Linked DNA regions of Caenorhabditis elegans. The protein of the gene in region 1 interacts with the protein of each later gene in a pairwise test. Each region holds a gene or a part of one and is shown on either strand. Other genes may lie near its edges.

Region 1 (4,048 bases):
AAAACTCAAAGATACAAATGAAGAATAACAAAAAAATTGAGATCTCACCTCAAAATGAATGTATAACAACTCCATTCAACGAGCCCACTTGCACGAATATTAACCTTTTCAGTCTGGAGACTGTCCACTTTATCAACATGAAGCATTTCTTGAAAACCTGAAAATGTAAATAAGCACTTGATTTTCAAAGCAGTTTTTGGAGGTTTCTTTTTATCAATTCGAATTCTGCGATAAGAAATGTTGCATTTTGTTTGGTTTTCCATCTAGTTGATCAGAAAGAGGGAGGAGCTTTTTTTTTAGATAATCAAGTGACTACAAACCGATCAAGTGATTGTTACAATAGACTCTTAAAGTGCATTTCCCGAAAAAAAAATTGAAATTTGTCTAAAACCTGTTATTAAACTTTTTAGATGAATACTGATAGAAGGCAACAAATGCTTGAATAGCTTTAGTAAAGTAGAATATTACAAAGATCTTGCTAATTAAAAAAAATTATATACAAAGATTTGACTCATTATCAATTGTCTGATAGTCAGATTTGCATGCCACATTTTGAAATCATATTCTTTTTATTTCTTAAGAAAGAAAAAAAAATTTAAGAACAACATGCAAGTATTTGTGTGTTGAAAACTAGGGTAAATCAAATGGAAGTGTTGGTAATATTGGCAAATGTCTGAATAACTTCTGTATTTAGGAATTACAACAAATATTGGTGGGATTTCGTTTGTATTTTTGGTTTCAATAGATCAATGAAGCTACTTAAGTGAACGATTTAAAATAATTAAATTTCAGCCGAGTGTCATCGTCAGTCTAGAGTACATTTTATGGATTTTAATTTTCACTTTAAGGATAAAGAGGTGCCACAGTTGACAATAAAACGGATTTAATCTGGATATCAATTCATGTTCGGACGCTGCGACCGCCAAATAAATATATTACGTTTTTAATACTTCAATTCAGTCTTTCCTTTGTCTCTTTTTAAATCCTAGTTTGAAGAGCCCCATACATATAAACTTAACTTCCATTAGCTATTTCATGGTTCTATAAATCTAGGGTACCAGTTTTTGTGACCTTATATTTTGGTACCTTCTCAATCTGCCGTTTCAGGGAGAGGGAGACAATAAGCAGACGATCTCATAGAGCCTTTCTGGATATCGATCCAAATCCAGACGCTGTAATGAACTACCTAACATTCACTCTCATTCATGTTGTTCTCAATTCATTCTTCTCATTTTATCCAGGTCCCATTCGGTACGTTTATTTTTTTGTTCTTATTTTGATTGTTTTAATTTTCTGAGATATCCCAGTTGCAGTCCTAGTAAGTAATTGTGTATTTGTATTAATTCCTTTAAAAAATCTTCAACCGAAGACGAAAAGAGAATAGAGCCCTCTATTTCAGAATACTGACATTTCTAGTGTAAATAAAATAGTGTAAAAAAGTATTACTTTGGTTTTTCATGTACCGGATTTTTCCTGATCGTATTGCACGTATATCTGATTTTAAATAGCTTATATGGCCTTCGAGACTGCTAGATTTTCAATTAAAAACTGGAATAGCATATTTATAGCCAAAATTAATTTTTGAAACTTGAAAGTGATAAAATTTTTTTACATCTTTGAATGTTAACATTTTTTTCTTTCTTAAGGTTTGAGTGGGATGAAAGATTGATAAAACCTGCGAGATTTGTATCGATGGTACTGAATTAACAATAGTGGGAGCTAGATTAATTGGAATTGGAAATTTAGTTTCTTTCAACGTTTACAAAATGCCCATTTTAGTATAGCCATAGATTTGGAGTCAACTACATTCTGAATGACTTCTCTCGATCCAATCAATATATTATGTTCTTCGACAGAAGATCACCATACAATGCAACGCTTTTCCAAAATTGTGAATATCGATCCATATTTGGACGCTGTAAATTCTCACCATCGTTCTCTCTCACTGTTTTTTCGATCCAATTACTCATTCTCACCTAACATTCTCAAAAGGTGCATCTTTCCTTTTTTCATTTATTTATTTGCTCTAGTATTTTCTACTGCAGTTTCACTAAACGTTTCTTTTCAATTAAATATTTTTCAGAACTGAAACTATGTTTGCTGAAAATCCATTCTTCACTCCCACCGAGTCCAAGTTGAAATCGGAGATCGCACTTCTTCAAATGAAATTGGATGACGAACGATTTGATCATCAGAAAACGTAAGTTGTTTGAACTCTAGGACAACGTGCAACCTGTTATATAGATTATATTGTACTAACCCATTCTTAATATGTTCAATTTCAGACGACGAGAGCTTGCCAATTCTCGACTTGAGATCTCTGATCTGAAAGGGGAAGCGAAGTGCCATGATTCGGAACTCAATCGTCTCTACACAATAATCAATAATTTGGAAAAGAAGGTTGAAGATTTGAATGGAGAACATCAAAAGTCATTGGAAAAATTGAAAGAACGTCTTCATGAAAAGGATGCTTTTATCGAGGCTTGTGAAGAATTCTATGATGAGAAGAAGATCAATGTGAACAAAATGACATTGATGAAACAAGAAATGGAATTGAAGAGAATCAAAAAGAACTTTGAAGAATACAAGGAAAGAATGACTGAAGTTGAGAAAAATTTGAACGAATTTATCAAAAGACAATCGGCCATTTGTATGGGAGTGAGATATGAATTGAATATGGAAAAGGATTCGAGAGAGAGATATTTCAAAGAAGCTCAACAATTGAAACAAGAGAAAGATGTATTGGTACATGAAATCAATGAAAGAGAAGTCAGAATTTTGTGTCTGAGAAGTGATATTCTTACATTGAAATCTGAAAACAACGACACCTCTAAGGAACTTGATGAAATGAAAAATGGAACCAAAGCTTTGAAACATGAACTTGAAGAGACCAAGAAAATGAAATCCGAAGCCTTGTCGAAATATGAAGAATCTCAAAAAGAGTTCGAACAGTTCAACTTGAAGTTCCAAAGATTGTGCACAAAGTTCTACGAGGAACGTGTCTCTTCTCAGACAACTTCACCTAAAATGAAAGAACATCTGGCATCTGCTAAGAAACGATTGTCTGCTATCAAGGAAACACTCCAAAATGAAGAAGATTTTGATGAAACCGGAGAAGTAACCAATTATCAATAATTTAATATCACCCAATTACTTTTTCCGTGTTAATTTTTCTTCTTTTAGCTACTATCGCTTTTTTAGCATTTTTTCGATTTGATACTATTGCTTTTACTTTACCATTTCCATTGCACTTTTTCGTTTGTTGTAATACGAAACAATACGGCTTAATTTTTCAACGCCTCGGCATTCTTTCAATCCATCTTAAAATGTTACTCTCTTAATTATTCAATAAATGTTTCATTAAATATCGGAATCACTTTTTAACGTGGATTTTTATAACCAAACAGGTGTACGAAAAGTTTACTATCAATTTTAAATAACAGGCAGAATCAGAGAACTTCACATCGAAACACAACATGAAAAGTAAAACACACGACTAGCGATAAAAACTGTTGGAAAAATCAATCAAATTCAAGAGGAATTTGAAAAGTACGTGCTGAAGGTGGTAGATTAGTGAAAGCTATTACAATATTTCCAACAATTGTGGTTTCATCTTCCATGTTCTTTTTTGAGTGAAATCGAGATGAGTTTTTTGAGAGAGTACTCTAGAATCTGTAAAAGTCGATGATGTAGCGAAAAAGTGCAAATATCATTTTTGCATGAAAAACTAAAACTGATTAGATAAGAAATGACAACAATGGTTAATGATGTTGACCTATGCTCTGCTTGTATACCGTGATTAGTGTCTTTGAAATCAATTCCATAAAATAAAATACGTGAGTGTGAGTTCAAATATACCATTAGAAGACAGTTCAGACCTAGAAAATGTTTTGCAACCAGTTTTGTATATTCTCGAATTAACAATTTTTATGCAAAATGATTTATTTGTAGGAAAACAAAGGGAAGCTAAGCTGAAACCTTGTCAACACGCTTGCGGAAGACCTTGCGATGTTTACGAACTACAACGGAACGAGATGGGCATGGACAA
Region 2 (6,142 bases), on another chromosome or scaffold:
GGAAATCCACGAGCGTCTGAAGAATGTGACGATTGAAAATGAAAAGCTGTTGATTATGTTGGGCTGTATTTATCGCGGAGAATTTACTCTAGGACAGGCACAGCTTTTCATGGCGCGTGAGAGCAAAACGTACATTTGCCGTCTCCATTTCCTGGAGACCCTCGACGAGATCTACCAGATGCTACGTCTGAAATCTGCCGATGATATTCTGATTTGCCCATTGGACTTGATTCAGAACGCATTGATCACTGTTTCCGCCCTCCGTCCACACATTATTGCTTCACAACTTCGAAAGATTCTTCACGATTTTGCCGAAAGAAATAATCATCTTCGTGAAACGCCAGCGGTAAGTTTCCGTTTTTAAAATTGCACATTTTGAAACAAATTAATTGTTTTTAGGAATTGAAGAAACTTGGACAACAATACTTTGACTACCGCGAGCCCGAACCTGAGCCAGAGAGAAACGATGTGGATGAGCAAGAAATCATACCGAAACTCTTTCGCCAGCCACGCAAGCAAGTTCTGGAAGCTGATCAGCATGACGGAACTGTCAAGGTTATAGAGCAGGAAGATTTCAAGCTCCCAACTGTCAAACCGTCTGAAAATGAGGAATGCGACAATCCGGGCGTTTGCTGCTTCTGTTCGAAACGTGGCGACCGAGGTGGAATGCTTCGTGTCCCGAGAAGTGAGGAACGTTTGGCTAGATGGGTGGATAAGCTTGGACCAGAATTTGAAGCCCGACTTCACACCAATACGGAAAACCTAATTTGCCGAAGCCATTTCCCAGATGCAGCGTTCAGCAGTCGTGGTAGACTTTTGAAAGGAATGATTCCAGATGCTGCTCCAGAAAAAGTTGAGACCACGTATATCATTCAAGGGAACAACTTCCTCAAACTCAAAGAGCGCAAGTCTGGAACTGATAAGAATTCAGCCATTGATTTGGCGAATATGTTAAACCCCGACGGTGTTGAATATACTCAGGAAGAAGAAGAAGAAGAGGAATATGAAGAAATGTCAAGATCCCCAACGGAAGAGACTTCAGACGACGAGCCCAGTCAAGCAGCAGTTTACAACAATGCTCCAGTGATAAAACGTACCTATAGAAAGCGGGAGTTGTCAAACGAGGATGGACCTCTTAACTTGGTAACACCACCTGCTCATACTCCGAACCCAAGAGGGCGCCCAAGGAAGTATCCCAAGAATAGTGTAACACCAGAAGCTGAAAAAAGCCTCACCGACTACGACTACAATCCGGGAACATCTCAACGACGTGCACTTAAGAAAGGTTACGTACAACTCGAAGACGGAGAAATTGTCGGCGAAGATTGCGAATACGTGCCTGAAAAAACACCAAGTGGAAGATTGATTCGACAAGCTGTTGCTAGACGAAGCTTTGCTTTTGCTGATGAGGAAGAGGAGGAGGAAGAGTATGAAGAATCTCCAATTGTTAAAAAGCCCAAGATTGCTGGAAGAGTGAGTTTTTGAAAAATATATGCTTTGAATTATTTTTATATTTTTTCAGCCAGTCGGACGACCGCGCAAAGATGCTAATAAGCTGCCAACCCCCACACCACCCAGCAACGAATAAGTGGAAATATTTTCATCCACCGTTCCTGATTGTTGTTTTTATATATAATTTTTTCTCCATTGATGTTTTTGATGATTAAGTCATACGCATAGTTTTACCCTGTTACTTTGATTGCCCTTAAAATTACCACTTTTATTTTACCTATTTATTTTAATCATCATTCATCTGAAACCTCACAATGATGAGATGATCTCATCATTTTTATATTTTGTAGTTTTATATCAGTTTTATAAATGTTCACCGAAATTTGATGCCAACTGGTTTTTTTCTAATTCTTTCCAAATGGTTTCACATCACCAAATGACAATTTTCCTTTACTTTCCTATCTTGCTTATCATACACTATCACTTATTCAGATTCCTAATGTTGGCTCCAGCGGCTCCAGCTAAAGATGTTGTCTCGGCAGATGAAAAAGAAGAAATCATTGCGAAAAGAAAATTTCGAATGAAAAACGTTGATGCTATGCGAATGTCAAGCTTGGCGAACGATCGGATGGCTTTCAACAAGAAATGCAATGCCCTAGCGATGAAGTTTGTTAAAAGTGCCGGCATTGGAACGGATGCTCTGCAGCTCACATGTTTCCAGGAGCTCGTCCGGCATTTCAACCCAATTGCCGCAGTTGTTGTTGGTGTCAAAAGAGAGGTATGGCTTTTTAAGGATTTTCTCCCATTTTCTGATATATCTAGTTAAAGGTGGAGTAGCGCCAGTGGGGAAATTGTTAAAAACTACTCCTTTAGTGCCAAAAGGACCAAATATCAAAATAAAACTTTTCAAACATTTTTTGAAAATTTTTTATTTACTGTCAAAAAGTGACAATCATTCAGTGTTTGCCAATCATAATTTTGGAAGTCGACAAAAAAATGTTCTCCTACATTTAAAATGCAATTTTGTTTTGCCTACTTGTATTAAAACATTGTTGGGGTCGGAACATGCGACATTGCTGTGGATTTCCTCAAAAGCTCATATTTTTCATAGTTTTGGCAATATGCCAAAACTTTGACTGGAAATTATGAAAGATCTAAAAATTTTTGGAGTGTTTTATTATGATATTCGGTCGTTTTGAATCATGATAAGGTTGAATAAGAAGTGTTCTATCTTCAATGTTTCAGCCAAACTCCAATGTACAAGCTGAAAAAAAGACAATTCCAAAAGTCAAGACAATACAAACACCTACCCAGTCAATGGAATCTGTTCGATTGGTAAGCAGAAATGTTTGAAGATTATTCATAATAATGCGTATATGGTTTCAGCTCCAAGAGAAAAAAGCTTCAGCAACTGAAGAACAATCAGCTGAGTCTGCTTCGATCATGAAGCATTTTGCGAATACAATTCCAAACTCAACACCAACGCAAAGCGTGAAGGATGTTCTGACGGCGGCTGCAAGCAAGGGACAATTCAAAAGTAGCGCGGAAATTTTTTCACACTTTCCAAGTGAACCCAGCCCCTCGAAACCCCGTGCCACACGAGAGGGATCTCAACCGAGTGACTACACGTATTGTACCTATCTGACTCCGTGCATACTCTGCGAGAAGGCTCTTTTAATGCGAGAAAGCATTGCAATGACTGATAACGAAGCTGTGAAAGTTTTGATGGCGGCAGTGATGTCTGGCCACTTTAGAATGGCAACTGCAGAGAAAGCGATTCGTCATGAGAGGCTAAGGATGTGCTATGATCATGTTGATTTTGTAGTAAGTTGTTCAGTATTTTTTTCAAAATAGTTAAGTTTGAAAAGCTGTGAAAACTTTTCTAAAGCTGATTAGAACATAAATTCTAATTTAAAAGTTATTAATTTTATTTATAATTTTCATGGCAAAAGTTCAAAATTTTTGGTGTTTTGTTTAGTACAACCTCTATTTTATTTTATATATGTGATCGATATTAATACATTAGACTAGAAAACAAGAATTAAAGGACGATCCGTTCTTCAAGTCCTATGCACTACGGATCTGGGATTCAGGTGGTGCTCCCACTGAGTTATAATTTAAGCCACGTCCTAGCCGGGGACTGTGGCCGATAATCCTATCGTGGACTGCTCTACTTACCAATAGAGGCTGGATGAAAACCTAGGTGGTGAGGTTGGACTTGAACTTGTGACCTCCAGATTGCTAGCGGCCACCACTACCGACTGAGCTATCCTGCCCCCTTTTAGTTTAGAGATTTTAGTTTAAAAAAAACCATACACCACTTTTTCAGTACGAAATGATGTGCGACGCCTTTGAAGCTAAAACGGAAAGCGAGATCAATGAGATGCCACCGGACAGATTGATGCGTGGCCATGATATCTATAGAGCACTGAAGGTTTGATTGTCATATCTCGTTGTTCTACAACGGTGAAATGTTTTAAGAGAGTCGGCGACCTGCACAAAGGGAAGGTTACGTCGAACACTCCGCTTTACTCATTCAAGAATTCCATTAAATCTTATTACCGTAACCACGTGCCAAGGATGGTCAATGGGTCTCTCAGTAAACCGTCTCCCAAACCGTTCTCAGAGCTGGTTGCGCTTTTGCAATCGGTGAGTCTTGTGACACTTGTGAAAATTTTAAAAAAATTTAAAAAATTATTCGTTTAAGGTGCCTCCATCGACGAATCTAAATGAGTTGCTGAATCATAATCTTAGCCTCAGTGATGCTGATAAGCAAGAACTCATTCAACTCATCAATGGGAAAGATAATCGTTTCACATCTCGGAGACGGAAAATCGAGGATATTCTTGACAACAAGTTTGCTGCTGCAGCTGCAAAAGCTTATCGAGATCACAGTGAAGATGCACCTAGTGAACCGTATATTCCCAATCAAAGTGAGATGCAGAACACTGTAGAACGCAGAAAGCGAAAGCTTCATTCGCCTGAACAGGATGATGCTGGATCATCGAGTATCTCATGGAACGCAAAAAAAACGAAAACTCCAATTGACTATGTTCACCTAGCAACGCGTGTTTTGGAAGGTCATTCAATTGCCGACGAGGCGCTTTTGCACAAATCCAAAGTTTCTTATGCTCGTAATGCATTTGGTGAGAAGCCAAGCTCCCCCACTCCGCCATCTGCGCCACTAAAGTTCTGTGTTGTCAATGGAAAGAAATACTTGCGTTTTGAAAACGGAACCGGACCTCCGAAAGTTGTAGTTCAAGGGAATGTCGTTCTTCGCACTAATACTCTTAAAGACGCATTGACTACAGCGCCACGTGCACAAAACCAGCCTTCTACGTCCACAGACTCATCAAGCTCATCCGAGATGGAGGGAATACGTCAATCATTTGGGGCGCCTCAAAAGGAAGAAGAAGAAGAAGAATTAGTACCTACGCTTCTTCAAAACAAACCTACCCACGTGGAATCTTCGAGCCCCGTTGAAAAAAAACCACCAACCAAAACGAACGTAGAGAAACCAGCGGTCCGTCTAGGAAGAATGTTAACGACTGCATTTGGTTCAATGAGTTACCGAACAAGAAAATCGGTAGAGAATAAAACGGATCTCTTAAATCAGCCAACATCTGCCTCACCAAGACGCATGATTAAAGTTGTGAGAAACCGAAATCCTCACCTTGCGAAACAAGTGGCCGCCGCACCGAGTGAGCCAAAACATATTCCGCCAACGCACATGGAAAAGAAGCCGGAAGAGTTGCTCATGGATCCAAAGCCTGAGCCAATTTTTTAAACGTTCTTGATAACTTTGATTATTATCTTTTTAGTTCAATTTCATGTTTTTTTTAAACTGTTTTTTTCTCATCACAATCGATCTTATAAATATGTTACTTGTTATCAAAACTATTTCAAGAATTTCGAGTTTAGCGCATTTCGTGAGGAGGAAGTCTGAAATTAAAAGTTTTTGCAATGAATTTTTGTTCGGTCACACGGAATTTTTCAGGTTAGAAAAGTGTTTTGTGCGTGTTGGTTTTGTTGACGTCTTTTCAGAAAAAAAATTTAATGGTGTTTATTGATTGAAACCCGTATCCAAAAGATAAAACAACATACCGCAATTCCAAAAAAGAGCAAATTATGTTTGCCGGAAATGTTTAATTCCGGCCATTTGTCGATTTGCCGGAAATTTTCAATTCCGACAATTTGCCGATTTTCTGGAAGTTTTTAATTTTGGAAAGATGCCGATTTGCCGGAAATTTTCACTCCCGGCGATTTGCCGATTTGCTGGAAATTTTCGATTCCGGCCAATTGCCGGAAATTTCAGTTCCTGCGATTTGTCGGTTTTCCCGAAATTTTTAATTCCGGCAATCTGCCGATTTGCCAAAACTTTTCAATTTCGGCAATTTGCCATTTTGCCGAAAACTTTCAATTCCGGCAATTTGTCGATTTGCCGGAAATGTTCAATACCGGCAATTTACCGATTTGCAGGAATTTTTCAACTCCGGCATTTCGCCGATTTGCCGGAAATTTCAATTCCGGCCATTTGTCGATTTGCCGGAAATTTTCAATTCCGACAATTCGCCGATTTGCCGGAAATTTTTAATTCCGGCAATCTGCCGATTTGCCAAAATTTTTCAATTTCGGCAATTTGCCATTTTGCCGAAAACTTTCAATTCCGGCAATTTGTCGATTTGCCGGA

The links.
Region 2: the proteins of vet-1 (region 1) and lin-15A interact in a two-hybrid assay, tested with the Caenorhabditis elegans proteins (2 studies listed by BioGRID).

The regions. Positions count from the first base shown.
Region 1 is NC_003279.8:6,200,112-6,204,159, reverse strand, and holds vet-1 (Very Early Transcript), read left to right. Parts: upstream 1-2,083; 5' UTR 2,084-2,093; coding exon 2,094-2,200; intron 2,201-2,285; coding exon 2,286-3,135; 3' UTR 3,136-3,362; downstream 3,363-4,048. Other genes in the region: T05E7.1 (BAAT_C domain-containing protein), read right to left, coding at 49-146; col-55 (Collagen triple helix repeat protein), read right to left, coding at 3,967-4,048.
Region 2 is NC_003284.9:15,730,024-15,736,165, forward strand, and holds lin-15A (Protein lin-15A), read left to right. Parts: upstream 1-1,944; 5' UTR 1,945-1,951; coding exon 1,952-2,230; intron 2,231-2,697; coding exon 2,698-2,787; intron 2,788-2,838; coding exon 2,839-3,276; intron 3,277-3,781; coding exon 3,782-3,886; intron 3,887-3,933; coding exon 3,934-4,101; intron 4,102-4,159; coding exon 4,160-5,239; 3' UTR 5,240-5,342; downstream 5,343-6,142. Other genes in the region: Protein lin-15B, read left to right, coding at 1-346, 400-1,473, 1,523-1,588. UniProt on the Caenorhabditis elegans protein: Synthetic multivulva (synMuv) class A protein. SynMuv proteins are required to repress the induction of vulval development.